Oreochromis niloticus: one gene and its partner. The protein of the gene in region 1 interacts with the protein of each later gene in a pairwise test. Links are inferred from orthologs where the notes say so. Each region holds a gene or a part of one and is shown on either strand. Other genes may lie near its edges.

Region 1 (10,595 bases):
TAAACACTCAAGCAAGGACAGAGAAACGAGCAGAAACAACAGAACACGTCTACTCCCATCAAGGCCACCCGAGTCTTTAAAGAGCAAACACCCATACACACCCACCCAGAAACCCCAAGTTGCTACAACCAACAGCAAAGACAGAGTGGCAGTGGACGCCAACATGTCGACACAGAAACATGCAGGAAGGCCTCCACCAGTGTCTGAAGCCCTCACTAAGACCCAACAGAGGCCAGACAGCACATTCCAGTCCCACCCGGGCAGCATGGACAGCCAGGAATAGGATCCCACTGCACTGAGGGAGCCGAAAGACAGCGAACAGACCCAAACCCCAGGAAGGACACCGAAAAGCACAACCAGGGTGCCAGGACACACACACCCTAGCGGCAAAGGTCAACCAAGCACATGCTCCCCACATTTAGATCACAGGCTGAGGGTGTTTTAAAGTAACACTAACAATATGTAAGGATACTACTTTAACCAAGCTTCAGATGTTTCAGAGTTATAAGCTCTTCAACTGATCCACCAGCTTTTATATCTACACTATTTTATTATATGCAGGTGCAAATCATATATTAAAATTACAAATATTGGTCACCTCCTCTGTCTGAATTTATTTAAATAGCACAATAAATTTTGCGTCACTTTCACAAAAGATTTTAATGAATAAAAGCAGGTTTCGTCTGGGTGGTTGCCACTAGTAACAAAAGAGTTCTGAAGTGAGTTACTTCTGTGAGCAGGACATATGAAGCCAAGAGCAGAAAAAAAACTGTCTGAAATAGAGTGTTCAGAATGAAGCCTGAGCTTTTGGCTCAATGGGGCCTTTTTAATATGAGTATCCATCACTTTAACAGTATATATATGATAGATAATGAGGAAAATAAGACAAAATTAGATTCAAATGCACTTGAGAAACATCAACTGAACTTGCACTGCTACATAATCATTTACATCGTGACAAATGGAATTGAAACTAATCATGGTGCCTCCAGTGATGATAAATGTAATCAGTGTGTTCCCCACCCACAGCAATTTGACAGCACAATTCAATAAAACATTCCAAACCCTGTGGGGGATGAATTTACAAAAAGCAAGAACAGACACAGAAAGGTAGAAGTTTAGGGATTATTTCAAACTTTGTCCATGTTTAATATGATCAACAAAACAGCAATAATAGGAAATCATAAATTAAGTAATAATAATACAAAATAAGGTAATGCATACATGTCCACTATGAAGCGCATCAGAGCTGATGCAAAACATGCATAATAATAATAATAATGTAGAAGCTCACCATATTTATTTATGAACCTAATGTAATTAGATGTGAAGTGTTTCAAGATTACCTTCATTCTTAAGCAGCTCTGCTCGTTCGATGTCTTCAGGAGATGGGGAGCTCTCTGGTATGGTTAGATTGTCATTCTGTGCAAATGTAAAATAAAAGAGTCAGTGAATAAACACACAGGACATTCTGACTGGACACAAAAAAAGCACTGGTGTAATTAAGTCGTCATAATTGTACTGTGTATTTTACAATACTGTAAAGCATGCACTACCCACCTTGAGCAGGGCATTGAGGAATATCTCTCTAAGTGACTGTGGCACTGAAAGATGACAGTCACTGGAGCTGATCTTGAAGGTGGTCTCCAAGCACTGTATAGCAACTGCATTGGAGAATCAGCCAACATATGACAGAGTAGTTTTGTGTTAACTGGATAATCATGTTGAGTCAGAACTTGGCTCTACGCTCAGAGCAAGTCATTTGAATAATTCTTTTCAACAGCACTGCTTATCAAACCCTGATTTTGGTCATGTTTTCTTACTACCGTGACAGTTCTTAGCTTACTATCAAGAAAAGGGACATGATGTATGTACAGTTTGTGCAGATTCAGAACTCTGAAATGGACGAGACAAGGCAGAGTGCCCAGTGTTTGCACAGACACTTTCTAAGGCATAAGTGCAGTGAGTCGACCTACCTTCGAGGCTTTCCTGCTCATCAGAATTCAAAGTACCACAATGTGTTTGATCTCGTAGGAACTGCACAATAGAGAATGCCAGGCGCTTTTCCACAGCCATTTTTACCTAGAAACTGGTAGGGACAAGAAGGGGTTTGGAATCAAATGGAAAGGAAACCACTCAATGGTGACTGAATTACTAATTCACGAGGTGCCATTTCATAATAAAAGTAACAAACACATGCTTAAATAATGCTTAACTATAATGCTTAACTATAACTAAGTCAGTATAAAATACTGTAATTGTGCTTATTTAATCAAACTCGGACACAGACTCTATGCAGTCCTCTGAAGTACACACCTACTGCTTCCATAGGAATTATAAAGGTAAGCAGCAGGCAAATGCGGGTTATCAAATGCACTTGATTAACTTTTGCAGCTTGCTGGTTTGGAGCATTTAGGTGTGTGTTCACCTCAAGGTCAGACCATGCAATGCTTAGAAAAATGGCAAAATACCCAAGAGCTACATCTCACACTCTACAGGGCTCAGTAAGCATTTTAAATGTTTAATTTTATGACAGTACACTTAGAAAAAGACTAAAATGTTTTGGAAGGCTTGCCATGAGAAATCTTCTTCTCTCTAGTTTGCAAACTTGCATGTGAACAACCCACAAGTCTTCTGGGACAATGTCCTTTGGACAGACAAGACCAGAGTGTTGAATTTAAAATGAGCACAAACACTTTTTACCAACTGTCTGGTGGTGGGCTGATGATTTTGGCTTGTTTTTTATTTGATTTGTTGAGCCAAAAATCCTCCATAGCAATGTGAGAGAGTGACAAAGTTATACATTAAGGTGGTTCTACAAGCATGTAGTTTTTCACTAGAGTGCATACAGTCCAGTGAAAAGTTTTTCAAGACTGTATTTCCTGGCTGATATAGCAATCAGACAATTTTATTGAATTATGCTGTTCTGCCACAAGTATATAAAAAATGTAGAATATTTAATAAAGGTTAATAAAGAATGACCTGTTCCTTTTTCCAGTTTAATTTCTGATTTACAAGTTACATGTTTATATTATTGAATATTTTTTAACCCTAAAAATCAATACGGGCATTGTTATGCAAAAATTCAGTATCAGTGTGACTCTATTAAAATGGGCACTACTTCAAAACAAAGAAGCTGGCTTAGGGAGCACATTTTTGGTGCTTTTAATATATGCATTTCATTTTTTATTCAGCAATACATTACGTTTTATATTTTCAGGTTTAGAAGAGGCTGAGATAGTAGTTATGACCTAATTATAAACCTGGGCTCGACTATCCCAGGTTATTTTTTAGGTGCCAGTAGTTATCTTGCATTTGTTAAGGACTCTGTAGCAGTGAAGGAGAATATCAAATGACTGCATTGCATTTTGATAGTAAATCTCTACAGCTACAAAGTTGCACTACAACTGATACTGGCGATCTGCAGTTTCTTGTCATTTTATTGCCTATAACAAAAAAAAGCCTTGCCCCTCAGAAGGCTAGTTACTGCTTGATTTTTCTAAGTCGGACTGAGGCAAAAAGTGTGTGGGGAAACTGGGGCAAAAAAAACATGGCCACAGAATCACAGTGAGGGATGCTACAGACACAAACACTATTGCCTCATACGTCTGTCACGTGCTGAAACCAAGCGTTATGTTCATTTGAGTCTAGCTAGCACAGCTACTCCTCCCTTCGTGTGTGTTGACACACGTAAATGCAGTGATGCAGAAGCTGTGATGTAATAGCATAATGGGTGTTTTCATTCACTGCACTGACTTTATACGTTTATTTTAAATAAATGCATTGCTAAAATAAAATTATAATTTAGCCAGTGGCGCTGGCAGGTGTTTGTCTTTTAAGGAAACCTACACCCTGACGGTCCGGACAAACAAGGCTCGCGCGCTGCTTGTGTGATGCTGGCTAAAACAATCACAACCCTTTACCAAAAAAACAAAACAAGACAGGAAAACAGGAGGAGGAGAGGAAACAGAGGTCATCCTCGGAGCCCTACAAACAACACGAAGTCATTTTAAAAATAACACTCTATTAAAGGATGCTGTTCAGTGTGTGTCCCCCCTCCCGCCCACCTACCTGAGGTCTTATCCAGCTGTCTGCTGCTACCGCGTCATGAGGAGGGCTCAAGTCGGATCGATCGCGTCTTCCTCCTCTGCGCCTGCGCGTTAACAACGGAAATAAGAAGCGGTTCCCACGCGAGAAACGGGGAGAGATACCGGTCTTTGCTGCAACTACAGGGACTGAGCCATAGTAAGGCAGGAAGAAACGGGTTAATTTTATTTTTATGTATTTTTTTTTTTTTTTGCTGAAAGAAATCGCATGATACTGCTGGCATGTATCTGCTAACAGCTATAGTTTGCCGAGCACATTTCAGGTATGCTAAACATAGTCCACTATGGACTAGTCCACTAAATTGTGGTTGTTTATTACGTATGTGTGACAGATTGGTGAACTACGTTCAACAACTTTAAATTGCTAATTGCAGTGTGTTCCGCTTCCACGGACACCTGTCCACAATTAAAAATAATTTAAAGTGACAAAGTGACAACTCCTGCTTATTGGCACTTTAAGGATAACTGAGCTGTTTTTGTACGTTTTGGCTGCTTGACAGTTATTCCACGCTTTTATGAACTTCGTTTGAAAGGCTTCCGCTCGCACTGCCATGGCATGAAACTCTACACTGATGGATGAACCACGAGGGAAAAACATTACCGGTTATAGCATGGAAAGAAGTGTATCGAGTGTGTCCATGAAGATTGTGCTTACATTAATACCACCTATTCGAGCTGATCGGTTTCTTGACTATGGAGCAACAGAAAATATTGTTCGTTTTGGGGGGCGGTGGGTATTAAAAGGTCCAATTTTTTTACAGGGTCTGTAAACCTCTCCTGAGAATGACCATCGCTAGTGGGTCAGTGCTGTCTGCCAGAGACTGCTCTCAGGCAGGGCATGTGAGGAACACACTGAGGTGGAACCTGTCTCCAGATGAGATCAGGACTATGACAGACAGCTTAATTGCCAGAGTAAAGAAGGTCTATGACGACGTTGGATCCCTAAATATAGAAAATGTCTCTGTTGAAAACACCCTGATGACCTTGGCTAATGCTAAGATGGATTATGCATGTAAGTGTGCTGGTGTATTCTGGTTTACAATTCCATGAAACCAACAAACCCAACAATGTTTGAATCCCGCTAATGAGTATACACAAGCTAACTATATGTTAATAACATCAGTAAGCTATACTATCACAGAGAGTTATGCTGCACATGTGAAAATTCTTTAGTTCTTGCAGCAGTTTCTTTGCTTACATTACTCCTAGCACTGTCTGCAGCATAAGAGTAGCATCACACCTGAGCAGACTGTGGTGTGGAGTCAAGTGGTGTCTTCCTGTTACACTTCCTAACTAATTAGTGACATTTCCTATCCAAGGGCTGATGAGTTTATAACATGGTGAGGCATCCATCCATCCATCCATAGCTCACATGAATGATTACTCCTCCAATAGTATTTATCGTAATTTAATCAAAGTTACATGCAATGATCAGCTAATAGAGCTTCACCCAATCTGTGCTCAAAGTCAAGGTCACGCTTGTGGTTTTACAGGCAGTAACATGCAAACTGTGATTGATCATGACCCTGATGAGCTACTACGTCACTCTGGCGTGTATATGTGTTTACACATTTTTAAAAAAATTAATTGATATTGGAATAATTTACGCCCTTGTGTACCATCATCAGAAATCTAATGTAGCTATTCTCTTCTATTTTTTGTCTTCATTAGGAAGGAATACAAAGGCTTTTAGCTGTTGTTTTTTATTATTCTGTTATTTTTGTAACGTTCACCGTCGCTGTTTTTGTTTGCTTTGCTCCCTTAGCATCACGCCACGTTCTTGCCTTCCCTCAGTATGTTTGTCCTTCTAAGGAGCTTCGATCAGCGAGCACCGAAGCTGAAAAGAGACTGTCTGAGTTGGACGTGGAGATAAACATGCGGGAAGATGTGTTCAAACGAATCACTGCCTTGCAGGTACGACTCGAGCCACATTCACTTCAAGTAAAGTGAGGACTTTTGTAAAAACTGATACCTTTATGAGGCCACACAGATAATGACGTGTTAAAGCAGTCTTAATCATAAAAGGCTAATGTGTGAGGATTGGCTGCATTTATGAAAATCTTAAACTATTTTCACACTTCATGTCAGCCAGAGGCCAACAGATCATAGAGGCGCAAGGACTACTGGTTCTTATTAGACTGGAAACGAAATGTAATCTCATCTGATCAGTGGCAGCCAGTGCCATATGTTATTTCATGCTGTGCTGGCTCCCTGGCATGCAATATATAAATAGGTGAATAAATTTAGCAGAATGCCTGCTATTCTACCTGTATGAGAAGATGTTTAGTGTTATGATTGTGTTTTGGTAGAATAAACAGAAAGACAACCTTTCAGCTGAGGAAAAAAGATTCCTGGACAGACTTGTTACACTGGGCCAGAGGAAAGGATTGCACCTGTCTAAAGATATACAAGAGGTAATGTCATGTGTGATCTGATTATTAATATGGAAGTCATTTGTTAAAGTTACAGGTTAAAGGAGTTTAGAGATTAATTCCAATGTTTCATAATTGAAAAGAAGAAGTAAGCAAATAGAATCACATTGAAAGTGCCTGTAAATCTTTGCTTATCTTATTAGATAGTAAAAAATTAAAATCTCTGTGATGTCTTTCGCTCTGTGTTCTCTCTCCTAAGGAAATAAAAAGAACTTCCAAGCTCATCAGCGAACTCTCCATCGAGTTTAACAAGAATCTGAACGAGGAGAGCAAATTTCTTATTTTCTCTGAGCACGAATTAGGTGAGCTTGATACGTGAAACTCATGAAACGCTGCCTTGAGAGCCACGCTTTAACCGTATTCACTGATTCTCTTGTGACATACTTGCTCAGGTGGGCTAGCTGCCACTTTTCTCAGTGGACTGGATAAGACGGCTGAAGGACGGTATAAAGTGACCCTGGAATATCCCCATTACTATCCACTGATGAAGAGGTGCCATAATCCTGAAACAAGGAGAAAGATGGAAATGGCTTTTAACAGCAGGTGTAAAGAGGTAAACCGCAGGCTGATGATTAATATTTATATCCCAAATTTTAACCCTGTAACGCCAAGCGGATCATATTTGATATATGAGTTTCTAAGACCTCTAACAATCTGATTCTTTGGTCACTTATAGGTTTTTGTTTGATTAGGATAAGGATACTATGACCAATAATGCTGGATATACCAAAAATGATACAAACTTATTATTATTATTTTTTTAGTTTCCTGAAGGTTCAATAAACACTCCAGTTTAAAAAAAATAAAAATAACTATAAGTCACATTAATGTTGGACAGCTATGGATCCATACACATGTGCAGGTGAAATGAGAAAATGTGTGATATAAAAAGCTGCGGACAACAGGCCCTGGTGTTGTTGTGGTAGCTACTCAAGCCACACTGGGAAGCTTTTTCCTTTAATTTGTCGCCTGCTCGTATGTCTAAATGACATACAAGGATACAATCAGCAATTGCTGTCACTTTAGCACATTAATGAAACAAGCAATGTTGCATATCCCATGTCTTGAGAGGGCTGAAGTTGCAGCCCAGAGAACCTGCTTGGTGAAACCACATATTACTACTGGTTACCAAATGTGTCACAGAATCAACTCAGGCTGGAAACCTGTTTTAATAAGCTTAATTAAATGATTTAACTGAGCTGCGTCTCTCGTTTTTTTCCCCCAGGTAAACACGGCAATCTTAGAAGAGTTGATACAGCTGCGGGCGAAGGTTGCACACTTACTTGGTTACGGTAGCCATGCTGAGTATGTGCTGGAGATTAACATGGCTAAAAATGCAAGCAACGTGTCTGACTTTCTGGGTATGGTCTCTTTGACATCTGACCTCGCTGCCACACACATACACATGCAAACATTCCCTGTCATTTAAGATGAGCTCTCCCGCCTCCTGATAACTGCCTTAAAGTAGGAAAAGAAACTCAATAGGACAGATGAATGGGTGTGCAACTCCACACGCAGTCACATAACATGCAGGGTGAAATGTAATCAGTTACTAATGACAAATTACACAACATCAGCTTTTTATAATTAGTAGTGGCTGTAATCAGGTTGAACAACTAAAAGCATGTCTTTAATCTCAAAAAGTGAAATAAACCAGAGCTCACAAAAGGAGCACAAGAAGCACAGAAATTCAAGTCCAACAAAGGAAAAAGACAAGACTGTATACATGCACAGAGAGATGCTCAGTAAGAATAAATCATAGAATCAGAACAAAAGCAAAAGGTTAAAGTACAAGAGGCACAAAGAAAAGTTTTTCCCACAGTAAAAACAGGAAGTGTAAACTAGAAAGACAAGAGAACTAACAGAGAGACAAAGACAAGGAAGCAGTGGGATACTACAGAAAGAAGAAGAAAGGAAACATAAGAAATGACATAAATAGAATCAAAACAGGAACCAAAACTCAAAAAATATCACACAGGAACCCAGAACCGCACTAATAGTTTTCAATGCAAACAACAAATTTTGAATATTCAGCATTTGCAGATTTAGAACAGATTTCCTCTACAAAAACGTTCAACTTTCATATTCTTTTTTTGAGTGTGCAAAGGGAGTTAGTTTGATTTGGGCTTTAAAAAGAAGATAAGAAAGTAGACAGCAAAAGGTTCAAAAAAATTGCATGCTTCACATTCCGACTAAGGAGTTTTTCTTTTTCTGCCTTTACAGACAAGTTCCATGAAACGCTGAAGCCCGTGGGAATCAAAGAGAGGAAATACATTCTTGCGCTGAAGAAGAGGGAGTGCCTGATGAAGGGCTACCAGTTTGATGAGAAGATTAATGCCTGGGACTTACCCTACTACATGAATCAAGTGGAGCAGCGCAAGTTTGCTGTGGACAAGGACAAACTAATCGAGTATTTCCCTCTTGATGTGGTGACAGAAGGGCTGTTTGGTATCTACCAGGAGCTGCTGGGTCTCATATTCACAGAGGTGGAACAGGCTGACGTGTGGCATGAAAATGTCAAGCTGTACTCAGCCCGGGACACTGAAACAGGGGAGGAGATTGGTCAGTTCTACCTGGATCTGCATCCAAGGTAGATTATGTGTCATTTTTTTCAGAGACAAGATAAGATCCTGTGTTTGATGTCTTTATGAAGTGTGAGCTCACTAACATTCACTAGAGCTCTTGATCTGTGTGATAGACTTCAGCCTGACTGTGACATTTCACCAGGGAGGGAAAATATGGCCACGCAGGTTGCTTTGGGCTCCAGCCTGGCTGCAGAGGCCCCGATGGAAAGCGCAGGCTGCCGGTTGCGGCCATGGTAGCCAATTTCACCAAGCCTAGAAAAGGTTGTCCTTCTCTCCTCCAACACCATGAAGTGGAGACCTATTTTCATGAGTTTGGTCATGTCATGCACGAAATCTGCTCTAAGGTCAGTCGCTATGTTCAGTCAGGAAGTTATTGATATTTATATACTGTGTGCTTATGAATAAAAATTAGTTTTTCTGTGTATGCGTCAGACTGCTTTTTCAGAATTCAGCGGAACAATGGTGGAGACAGACTTTGTGGAGGTGCCGTCTCAAATGCTTGAGAACTGGGTTTGGGAAAAGGAGCCTCTGAGAAGAATGTCCTGTCACTACAAAGATGGTACCTCCATCCCAGACGAGCTGCTCGACAAACTGATTGCCTCCAGAGTTGCTAACACTGGTCAGACACCTAAACTTTGCACAAAAAAGTCTGTTACATTTATGTGTAAGTGAAGAGTCTCTGTTGATGTGTTCACTTCAGGGCTTATGAACCTACGTCAGGTAGTCCTTAGTAAGGTGGACCAGTCGCTTCACACCAGCCCACGTGCAGACACTGCTGAGGTGTTTGCAAAGCACTGCCAGGACATCCTGGGTATTCCTGCTACACCAGGTCAGCTTTAGCTTCAGCTATTTAGAATATATTTGAGAAATTATTGCATTAGAATTTCTATCAGTGATGCGGATTTACATTTTATAATAAACAGTCCACTCTGGGCATTAGTAGTTTGTATTCAGTGTTTTGTATGAAGCGCACAGACACTATCGTTTTTCTTTTTTGGAATTTGTATTAGCGATTTGTAACAAAGATCTGCTCTCTGCAGGAACCAACATGACAGCCAGTTTTAGCCACTTAGCTGGAGGATATGATGGTCAGTACTATAGCTATCTATGGAGCGAAGTCTACTCCATGGACATTTTCTTCAGTCGTTTTAAAAAGGAAGGCATTATGAATCCAAAGGTTGGTTTTCTGGTTGAACATTTCACTCTAATGATGTCTTATTTTTCTTGAAACTGTCTTTATATGTGCATTTATGCCCTGAACACAGGTTGGAAAAGAGTACAGAAGAGTGATACTGGAAGCTGGAGGCTCTGTGGATGGGATGGACATGGTGAAAACCTTCCTCGGACGTGCGCCGTATCAGGATGCCTTTTTCCAATGCAAAGGACTGGTTAACTCACAAGAAGCATCAATGTAATCTGATGTGATCTTTAACTGTTTTTGTCATTATTATATTATATCTGGATGCAGGTAA
Region 2 (10,236 bases), on another chromosome or scaffold:
CTGTCCCAGAAACACCCACTGTGCAGATTATGATATGTGACTGTATCAGGTTCCAAATTAGCAAGTGTGTGATGTGATTCAACCAAAATAAAGACGTATGAGACTGTTGGATCTAAGACTGGTCTATGAATCATGGTTTTCCTGAGGCACTAAACACCACAGTTAGCACATTTAAACAGGCATATAAGGTAAACAGATTTAAGCTAGGGGCTGGGTTGAGCATAATCAAATTCATCAATGGAAAACAAAATATATTATTTGATGCTTGATGCCAAAGTAACAAAAAAATATATACATTTAGCCCAAAATCACCACGCTGTACAGGCCCTGCAAAAAACCCAACAAAACTAACTGCTGTAATTATCTTAACAATATAGACAGTATGCTGTAAAGACAAAATGTATATTAAGTCAAAAAAAAAGAAAAAAAAAAAATGTGCATCTGGTGAGGGTCCCTTTTTTGTTTATGCTCTGATGTAACAAGGACACTTTATGGTATGCCCATTTGCTGAAAGCTCCCTAAAAATAAACTGGAAGATGACATGACTGCGCTTCACTTAGGCGCCCCCCCGTCTTTCATCCTTTCGTATGCCGCATGACATAATGATAAAAAATTCAGGATCCTCAGAAAGAAACAAATCAAAATAGAACAGACAGAGAGTAACAGTAGCATTAATTTCCCTTTGATGGCTCACCTCTTCTATCCCTGCGATGTTGTTCACTGCCAGTTTCTTCAGAGAGCCCTGCAGCTTTTTGTCGTCAGCTGTTGCAGTTTTGTGAACAACCTTTTTCTTCCTGCGGGCCGTTCCCTGAAGGGGAAAAAAATGGATTTCATAACCGAGTGAACCAGAATGTCAAACATAGTTAAGGTCACACGCGTCATCCTGTCATGGACATAAAATTACCTTCACAGAAAAAGACCTGTTTTTATTATTATAAATGAGTGTCTCATTCTTCCCATCTCAGAGTGCATTCTTCAAGACAATTACATTAATCTATAAATACTGTGGCTCAGGAGGCAGAGCAGTTGTCAGGTAATTTTCAAGGTCAGCGTCTTTGGTAAAGATTTTGAACCCCAAATTTCCCCAGAAGCAGCTGCACTGACACAACCCACAATGATTGTGATTGGCTCATTCATTACCATCATTTTAAATAGAAAAAACAAAACAGATTAACTAATAGAAAATGGAGAGCCTCCATTGGCCACTAGTACTTAGTGTCAAAACTGCAGAGCAGCAGCGCCGGTACATCCACAAACAGCTAAAAATACAGTGCTCCATTTGAAATGGAAAGTTGGAAATCTTGGAATTTTCAGCTGAAAGTTAGGCTTCCCACATGCACCAACATTGTGAGTGTAAACAGTAGGAAAACTGAAGAACCTGCCATGTGTACAACCACTGTTGTGTATTTGTCACTGGTTAAACAAGCAAACACAGAGAACCAAACCTTTTCATTAACATGTTGCGGCGACATGCTGTGGCGTCATGCTGCAGCAGTGGCGGCAATGGCAAAAAGACAGAAGGCAGGGCTGAAGATGCTAAGATTCTCACTGGTAGTGATCAGGATGGACAGGATTAGAAATGAGTACATCAGAAGGACAGCTCAAGTTAGAGAGGCAAGGCTGAGATGGCTTGGATATGTGCCGAACAGGGGGAGTGTATATATTGGACAATGGATGTTGAAGATGGCACTGCCAGGCTGCAAGAAGAGAGCAAGACCACAGGGAAGATTTCATGAATGCAGTGAAGGCGGACAGAGAAGATGCTAGGGATAGGGTGAGATGGAGGCAGGTGATCTACTATGGCGACCACTAAAAGGAGCGGCTGAAAGTAGATGACGACAATGTCTGGAACATGCTTGACTTTAAATTTAAAAATCTGTCCAGTTAGGAAGAACTGAGCAGTGTACCATAAAGACAGACATAATGAGTTCGCTTATTTTACATGACTGGTGCTAAACATATAACCTAGTCCAAAGGAGGTTATGCACGTTACTCAATCTCAAACTGCTGAAGAAGAAAATTTATCCCACTGAAAGAAGCCGAGCAGTATAATTAAAGTAGAATTGGTGCAGTCTCAGAAATGTACCTGAATTCATTTAGAGATACAGAACACACATTTTGATGCTTGGTAATTTTATACCAAGTCTGTTTTACAGTGCCAGCAATACAGCTAATAGAGCATAAGCCTATTTCCAGGCTAGTTATCAACAGGCAACAAAATCAAAGGAAATGTTTTCACTTTGGAACTAAGATAAACACCACGTCATCTTCATTGGTATATGGGAGACACACTGAGTAATGTGAAGATTCAATGTCACATTAGAAACAAACAGCAGCACTCAGCATGCACTGAGTGACAACATAAACAAACATATGAATTCACAGGATTTTCTGCAGCACTGCTTTCTTTACTTATATATAACTGGATTAAGAAAGAAAGCTGCCAACCACGGTGGTGATACTGGGGGTTTTGCCAAGCTGTGTAATGTAAAGAAATCCTGTTTATGTTCACAGTGTCACAGCACAGGTCACTCCTCTGGACAAGTACAATTTTTTTTAAGTACCCAGACAAAACACATACTTTACTGTACACCATGTGACCTTCCATGTGACCATATTAAGCAAAACATGGGCAGTATTGATGCACTAGTAAGCAAAATATTACACCCAAAAAAGGGAAGTTATTCCAAAAGTTAAAACTACGCTGCTCAATTGAAGCAAATAGAGTTACAAATCAAACTTCTGTGATGGCTGAATTATCAGAAAGCTTCCGTAGGTTGAAGAAAAGAAAACAAAGAAAGGTGCTTAAGCTGTGTGAGATACCGGTCGCCTCCTCCACCCAGTGAGCTAAAGTAGTGTCCACTGACCTTTATTTTATTTTAAGCAAGAGCTTTACTCACACCCAAATATTTAAACTAGACATTATCCATCTATATTTCAGCACCATAAATTCATTGTGATGTATACACAGAAACAAAAGTCTGTTGAGGGTCACTCCAGTTTAAAAAAAAAAAAAAAAATGTTGAGAATGCCGATGTGAGGTTAAAGGAATTTCAGAGCAAGAAAAACAAATAACGCCACCTAGTGTGTGACTGAAAGCCTCACAATAAATGTGAACAAAGCCAGAGAGCCAGAGATGAAGGGGGGCACAGTTCTGCCCTCCCCCAAAAAGGGAATGCTGAGGTCAGGAGGAAACACCTGACCTCAGCTGAATACCATCACACCTTGAAATGAGCAGGAAAATGAACCCAAGAGAGTTGAATCCATAATGTGACATCTGTTAAGTTACCATAATTAGAATAAAAGAAGAGATCCAGCAAACTCTTACCTTTCCACCTATCCGGACCTGAGCCTGAAGTTTAGCGAGCTTCTCTTGATTCATAGTGTTCTGTTTTGAAAGTTAAAGAAAAACACACGTTTAACATGATTTTATTCCCATGCTTATCAAACAGGGAAAGAAAACAGTTTTTGTTTTTTTCAGCTCTTAAAACCACCATCTGCCTAAGGAGCGCCGCATGTGGCTGCTGAAATACAATAGTCCCAGCATGAGCTACAATAATCCCCCAAAATAACAAACTGGAAATGAGCTGACTGACAATCTGATCGTTATACTCAACCTGCTGACCATTATACACTGAATGTGATGAAGAGATATATCCGGGCTTTGTCGTTTTAAATTACATCTACGATAACTGCAGCTAGTTAGGCTGCTAACTAGTTGAGTAGCTAAGCTAATCCTAGCATCAAGCCAGAAGAAAGCAGCTGAACGCACCTGCTTTGGTATCGACAACTAAATTTAAGCTCAAATCCAATGATGCAAACAAACCAGCGCAGATGTCTGCCGAGAAATACCCCCCAAATTACCTGCGGTAATGAATTTGCTGACGGTCAGTTGTACTAGTCTCGATGTTAACCACCCAGCTTAGCTTAAACTATCATTAAGTCAGCAGCAATCATATACATTTCCTGTTGGGATTTTCACTATAAAGTTTACATAACGCCCGTCAAACGATGTTATATAGCTTTTATCCAGATGAAAAGGACATAAATACAAATGTTAAAAATATCTCAAGTTAAATTTAAACTTAGATTAACTGACATATGTAAATATATTGTATATTTGCTATATTTCGATGTAGTTCGAACTTTTATTTTGGCGCGACTTTCCGGTGTTATATTAGAATTTCGTCGTCTAGCTTCACTATCTGACAAAGCAGCGAAGAGCACGCGGTTATGTGGATGTGATGTCATATGACCCGCCCCTCCAAAAGGAAAATGAATCACCGTTGGCCAATAGTAAAACGCGGACACACACGCGCGCACAAACGTGCACGCCCACAAACACAAAATGATTATTACAAAATATGAAAGTTTTAGGGAAGTTTACATACATTCGTCACGGACATTAATGTCATGGTAATTTGGGGCTTTTCATGATTTTTTCGATTTTTTCTTTATTCAGGTTGGTATGACTGGACAATATCCACCTTTAATTCATTTAAATAAACAAGAACTGTGTGCACAAGTTTGTGTTTATTTTGGATTTTCTCTAACCCAGGGGTATATATGCACAAAATCCCATTAATGATTGGTTAAAATTGCATCTCAACCGCTGATATTTGACCAAAAAGATTGGTCAAATATCAGCGATCGTGGCTCAAGAGTTGGGAGTTTGCCTTGTCAATTGGAAGGTTGCTGGTTCGAGCCCCGGCTTGTGTCCTTGGGCAAGACACTTCACCCGTTGCCTACTGGTGGTGGTCAGAGGGACCGGTAGCGCCAGTGTCCGGCAGCCTCGCCTCTGTCAGTGGTGGCTCGCCCAGGGTGGCTGTGGCTACAATGTAGCTTGCCATCACCAGTGTGTGAATGGGTGGATGACTGGATGTGTAAAAGCGCTTTGGGGTCCTTAGGGGCTAGTAAAGCGCTATACAAATACAGGCCATTTATCAATCTTTTTGGTAGATTTGGTAAACTTTCAATTGGTTTCCTGGCACAGATTCGGCTGTTAAGCATAGTCCACAAATTATTAATAGAGGTTGAAGTTGGGGTTTTGGGAAGGCCATTTTAGAAGCTTAATGTTAGCCAGTGTACCAGTACCACTGGCAGCAAAAGAGTCCTAGAGCGTAATGCTACCACCACCATGCTTGACCAATGGGAAAAGTGTTCCTAGGTTTAAAAGCCTCATCTTTACTACTCCAAACATACTTCTCATCATTGTGCTCAAACTGTTCTCCAGAAGCCATTTGGTTTGTCCATATGAATGGCTGCAAACTCCAGTCGAGCCCAAAGGTGTTGATTTTGAAGCAGCACCTCTCAGACCATGGTGATGTAAAACTCACTTCACTGTGGACAGTAACACTGATGTCCCAACAGTTTCTAATTCATGACAGGCTTGACCCTTGGTTGTGCCTGGGTTGTTTCTGACCTATCCTAACCTGTTTCCTCTGATCTGAAGGTCACAGTTTGCGTCTTCTTCCAGACCTTGGAAAAGTGGTGACACGTCTGGAAGCTTGTAGTTGTGTACAGGTAATTGAAGTTATGATCTTGGAATCTGCAGTTGTTTCAAAATGGCTCCCAGACACCTTCCCAACGTTACACACACACACACACACACACACACACACACACACACACACACAAATGACAGCAATTTTGCGTTTTTTTTTTACTCTCAAATACAATTTTAGTAACAAAACTTTGGATTTTTTTTCTTGGAAATAACTCCACCCAGTTTCTTTCTTTTAGTATTTTTTTTTCAAGAAAGAAAGAAAAAAAGAAAGAAAGAAAAACAGAAAATAAAGTCAGGAAGAATTTTAACATAAATTTGTCATATAACAATAATATATAATTTTGCATTATAAAATGTAGTTTTTAACTTTGTGAGGGTTTTGTTTTTGTTTTTTTTGGCTATTGTTTCAGGCTATTGTTTGTTTTATAATTTTGTTTCCTGTGCACTATTTTGTAAAATCCCAACTTTCTCAATGGGGCTCTTATTGTGAAACGCGGCTGTTATACATCCGGGTCACTTGGCTAACTATCAGTCACTGCTGTTAGCTGTTCCCGTCCGCAGTTTGACAAGGAAAAGCACTCAAAATGCAAACCTCTCTGCTGAACTTCGGCCTTTTCTCAGTTTTTCAGCTTTTAATCTCTTTATCGTGTTTCCAGGAGGTTGTGCAAGCCACCAGCGGGAGAGGTGAGTTTAAATCTGGAGTTAATGATTGATTTAAAGCAGGATCTTTGTGCAGCTTCATTGATAGTGTCACCAGTGGGAGAGCAAAGCAGAGCAGAGCCAGATGTCTTTCATCCTGAAACCTAATATCCGTGTCCTGGTTTACTGAGCAGGTGTATGCAAGTGTTTCTGTCGGGCAGACATAATTTGTAGTTTTTCTGGTCAGCTTAGCCGAGTTGTTTTATAGCTTTAAGTCCTCTACAGACCTGCATTTAACGATTTCTTCATTAATACTGTTTTAACTTATAATTATACTCACTCAAAATAAAATGTTTTTCGCCAAGCACACAGGAAAATGAGATATATGCTTAAATAAAATATCCTTACATGAATGTAGATGCATTTTGATTGAAAAAAAAGTTGTACAATATGTATGTAAATAGTAGTGGGCGTTAAAAGAAACAAGCTAGTGAATGCGATTAAAGTTTAGTACTGAAACAAATATTAATCCATTGATTGCATTCTTAATTATTCAGAAGTACCCGAAAAGAGTAGAAAATAAAAAGGATGTTAAATAAAATTTTTTGGTCTTATAATCAAACAGCTTTTTCTTCTTGCAGATTTGCCAGTTTATTTCTGATAAATTCGCCACATTTTAATTCTCAATTTGCCCATTTTTTCTTACATCTTTTTCCTCATAAATTTTCCAGAATTTAATTTTAATAGTTTTTTCTTTTGTAAATTTGCCACTTTATTTTTGTTTATCTAAAATGTATTCCATGCTTATTAATAGTACTACTAGTAATAAGCTACTACTACCTTTATTACTGGTGAAGTAGCTGTATAAAGTACCTTGTTTCAGCCCTGTTTGCTATAGCACAATATAGTATCAAATAACTTGCCATTCAGTTGTATTTGTTTCCTTGTACCTCTATCTATTGATTGAGTATTTAGGGCAAACACACCCTGTTGTGCAACACAATACCAGATACACAGTGTGGGTGTGCTTATTGATTGTCTCTGCCTGCAGGATTTGGTGATCACATCCACTGGAGAACGCTGGAAGATGCCAAGAAAGAAGCTGAAGCCAGGTGAGCAAAAATATTACAACCACTTCCTGAAATGCTGCCAAAGAGCCTTTTGTGCAAAGATTAGCCTGAGGCAGCTGTTTAAAAAAAACCCACGCATACATCTATTTTTGTCCTGGTTAGAGGAGCAGATTGACAAGTTGTCAACGAGCGGGTGTAGTTTTTCATATGTTGCAATTTCAGGCTTTAAAAACATGGAGCAGTGTGAGAAGTTTTCAGTTTTGGAACAGCATGAGTTTAATTTTGGTTTTGATGCACTTTTAAATGTGTTTAAATTAACAGCGGGCTGCCGATCATGGTCATCATCCACAAGAGCTGGTGTGGAGCCTGCAAAGGTAAAATAATGTTCCACCGTTCATCTTGCAGAAACTGTCTGACTAAAAATCTGTTCTATAGAGTAAAAAAACGCCAAATTAGGTGTAATTAAAATCATGGTGAACATTATTGAGTTTAGTCGATTGACATTACTTTGAAGAGAGAATCAAAGCCAGACATGTTGCATATTTCCTGCTTAAAAATTATTTTATTTTATTACATAAAACATTTAAAATTTAGACAAGCTGTCTGAGTCATAAAGGCATAAAATACTGTACACGTGAAGCTTTTATGATCTGTAAATTTATGTACACGTAATAATAGTAGGCTCCCTATGTTGAACAACCAGGACAAGGTGTTGAAATTACGCTTACACCTTTTAAGATATCACATGTTTTTGTAAGTGACTGGTTCACTGAGTGTTAAAATGTGGACATTTGAGAATTTACTATGTTAAACTTTAGATGTGTGGCTCATGAACTAGAATGAACATGTTGTGTTGTCTCCGAGAACAGGTTGTTGTATGGATACTTTAAAAAGCCCCTAAAGGGCTGCTTTTTTAATGCAGGGCATGTTGCCAGTGGTTTAGCAGCCTGCCAGAAAGCTCCTGAAAACCTGTAAGGTAGCAATGCAGGGATCCTTAAACACCTGAAGCTGTACAGATGCTGTTGGGCCTTTTTAAGTCGCTTATGTCAGGTGTTTGTGTATGTGGACTCCCATGTATTTAAATCTGTGCATCCGCTCAAACCCTGGGGTCTGTTTACGATGAACAGCCAATCAGAAGAAAGTCACCTTAAAGGTAGATGAGCTAAACCAGCTTCTTTCAGACAGAAGATGAACTAAGGAGCTAAACAAGGATGATTCTGAACTTTGAGTCATGCAAAGCCCCTCTAGTAAAGTCCAAGAATGACAAAAGCTGGAGATGAGATCTATCTACAATGCCTGAAATTGAGTTTTATATTTGTTTAATTAACTTAGGATATTGCTTAGCAATTTAAATGTTACAGAAAATATATTCATGGAAAAATATTTCTGTTGAAAGCAGAATCAACTGTTTTTATCAGCTTTTTTAAATGATCCAAATCGTAGCTACAATGTTGTTGTTAATCAGGAAGCCCGTCTTTGGATCTCAGCCAGATGTGTAATGTGGAAAGGACAAACAAAGCAATCAGGAAATGACAAAAACCGGAAGGGTTGTTGGAAAAAATTAAGTGACTATTTTCACTAACAAGTGAAATGCAACATGAGAATTCAGCAGATCTGAAAACTTGGAAAAAAACTGAAGAACAACAGAGGCTTTTAATTATTTAAGCCTCTTCACCGTAAATATAAAAGCTTTTTGCATTTGATTGTGTGTAAAATAACCTCTTTACTATGTTGTTGTTTTTATAATCAGCACTGAAGCCCAAGTTTGCTGAATCCAAGGAGATCTCTGAACTGGCACACAACTTTGTCATGGTGAACCTGGAGGTGAGGATATATTGAAAGCACCTTAAAGCCGCTGCTTCCTGTATTTTCTGTTTATTTCAGTGTATTGATGTAAAAATATCATGTTTGTGCTCCCTTTTATTTCTTGTTTTATCGTCATGCTACAAGCCAGAATTGACACATTGGCGGTTTTTGGATTTGTTTCCACTAATCTCTCATTTTACCAGGATGAAGAGGAGCCAAAGGATGAAGCCTTCACCCCAGATGGGGGATACATTCCTCGGATTCTTTTCCTTGGTAGGAAGGCGGGGGCGTAATCAGCCTTGATGTACACAGCTTTGAGGAGTGACTCCTTGTGCAGTTAGTGGTAGTAGTAATAGTTTTCTGGTCCAGGTTACATTATATTATCAGAAAACGGAAAGTTTTCAGAACTAAAGGCAAAGTTAGTATTGTTATAAATAATACAATGAAAAGTTTCTAAACAACACTGTCATACCAAGTCTCGTCCAGTTCTCTTTGGGAAATGTTTAAAAAAGGCCTAATGGGCAGGTTGAACTTCCTGCAGCTCTACACATAAACTCAGAAGTTTATGAATGAATTGTGTCGTACTTTTATGCACTTATTTGCCCTAAAAAGAATAATTTGGCCAGACATTCCTTCCGAGAGGACATAGCAGATCTGAATCAGAGGTTGACATGACCCTGTTGTAGGTCCACTTATTAAAGACAGGCTGTAAAAGGTGTGGAAGCCATCCATAAGTCAAAATTTATATGGAGAGAAATTTGCCTCAAAAGTGTTACAGATATTGTCCAGAAGCGTGAACTAAAATTTACAAACGTGTGCAACTTTTGAGGATTCAAAAATGCGCACTCCAATCCACACAAACGTTTTAAAAATGTGTATATCCAAATTATCCTCAAGCTAAAAGTACAGGCAACATCCCTTGCTTACTTATAAAGCCTTAAATGCGTGTGCACAATTGCCTGATATGCACAGATCATGTCCCAGGCCCACCTGGGATTTTTCACGCTGAAAGCTTCGCACAGATCCACAGACTAAGTTGCGTTCAAGTCTCAGTGTAAAATTGGGACATCTTAGTTTTATACTTGTGGATCATAAGGTATGCATTTGTAACACTTTTAAGGCAAATGTCTCTCCATAAATTTCAACTCAAAGTTTCGACTTAACTCAAATTTCAACTTATGTTTTTAACTTTCAGTTATTTTCTTAGTAATTACA

What was found. The genes of interacting proteins can lie anywhere in the genome.
Region 2: the proteins of sgtb (region 1) and txndc12 interact in binary tests that used the Homo sapiens proteins (3 or more experiments, as listed by UniProt). The two-hybrid records come from large-scale screens. The link is inferred for Oreochromis niloticus from reciprocal best matches to the Homo sapiens genes SGTB and TXNDC12.

The regions. Positions count from the first base shown.
Region 1 is NC_031972.2:13,434,677-13,445,271, reverse strand, and holds the start of sgtb (small glutamine-rich tetratricopeptide repeat-containing protein beta), read right to left. Parts: upstream 4,173-10,595; 5' UTR 4,072-4,172; intron 2,090-4,071; 5' UTR 2,077-2,089; coding exon 1,977-2,076; intron 1,665-1,976; coding exon 1,561-1,664; intron 1,423-1,560; coding exon 1,347-1,422; intron 1-1,346. Other genes in the region: nln (neurolysin, mitochondrial), read left to right, coding at 4,329-4,369, 4,868-5,118, 5,872-6,020, 6,416-6,520, 6,738-6,840, 6,931-7,091, 7,764-7,899, 8,762-9,128 and 5 more. UniProt on the Homo sapiens protein: Co-chaperone that binds directly to HSC70 and HSP70 and regulates their ATPase activity.
Region 2 is NC_031982.2:25,253,009-25,263,244, forward strand, and holds the start of txndc12 (thioredoxin domain-containing protein 12), read left to right. Parts: upstream 1-6,008; 5' UTR 6,009-6,090; coding exon 6,091-6,190; intron 6,191-7,196; coding exon 7,197-7,257; intron 7,258-7,536; coding exon 7,537-7,589; intron 7,590-8,965; coding exon 8,966-9,039; intron 9,040-9,224; coding exon 9,225-9,294; intron 9,295-10,236. Other genes in the region: transcription factor BTF3 homolog 4, read right to left, coding at 695-808, 3,329-3,382. UniProt on the Homo sapiens protein: Protein-disulfide reductase of the endoplasmic reticulum that promotes disulfide bond formation in client proteins through its thiol-disulfide oxidase activity.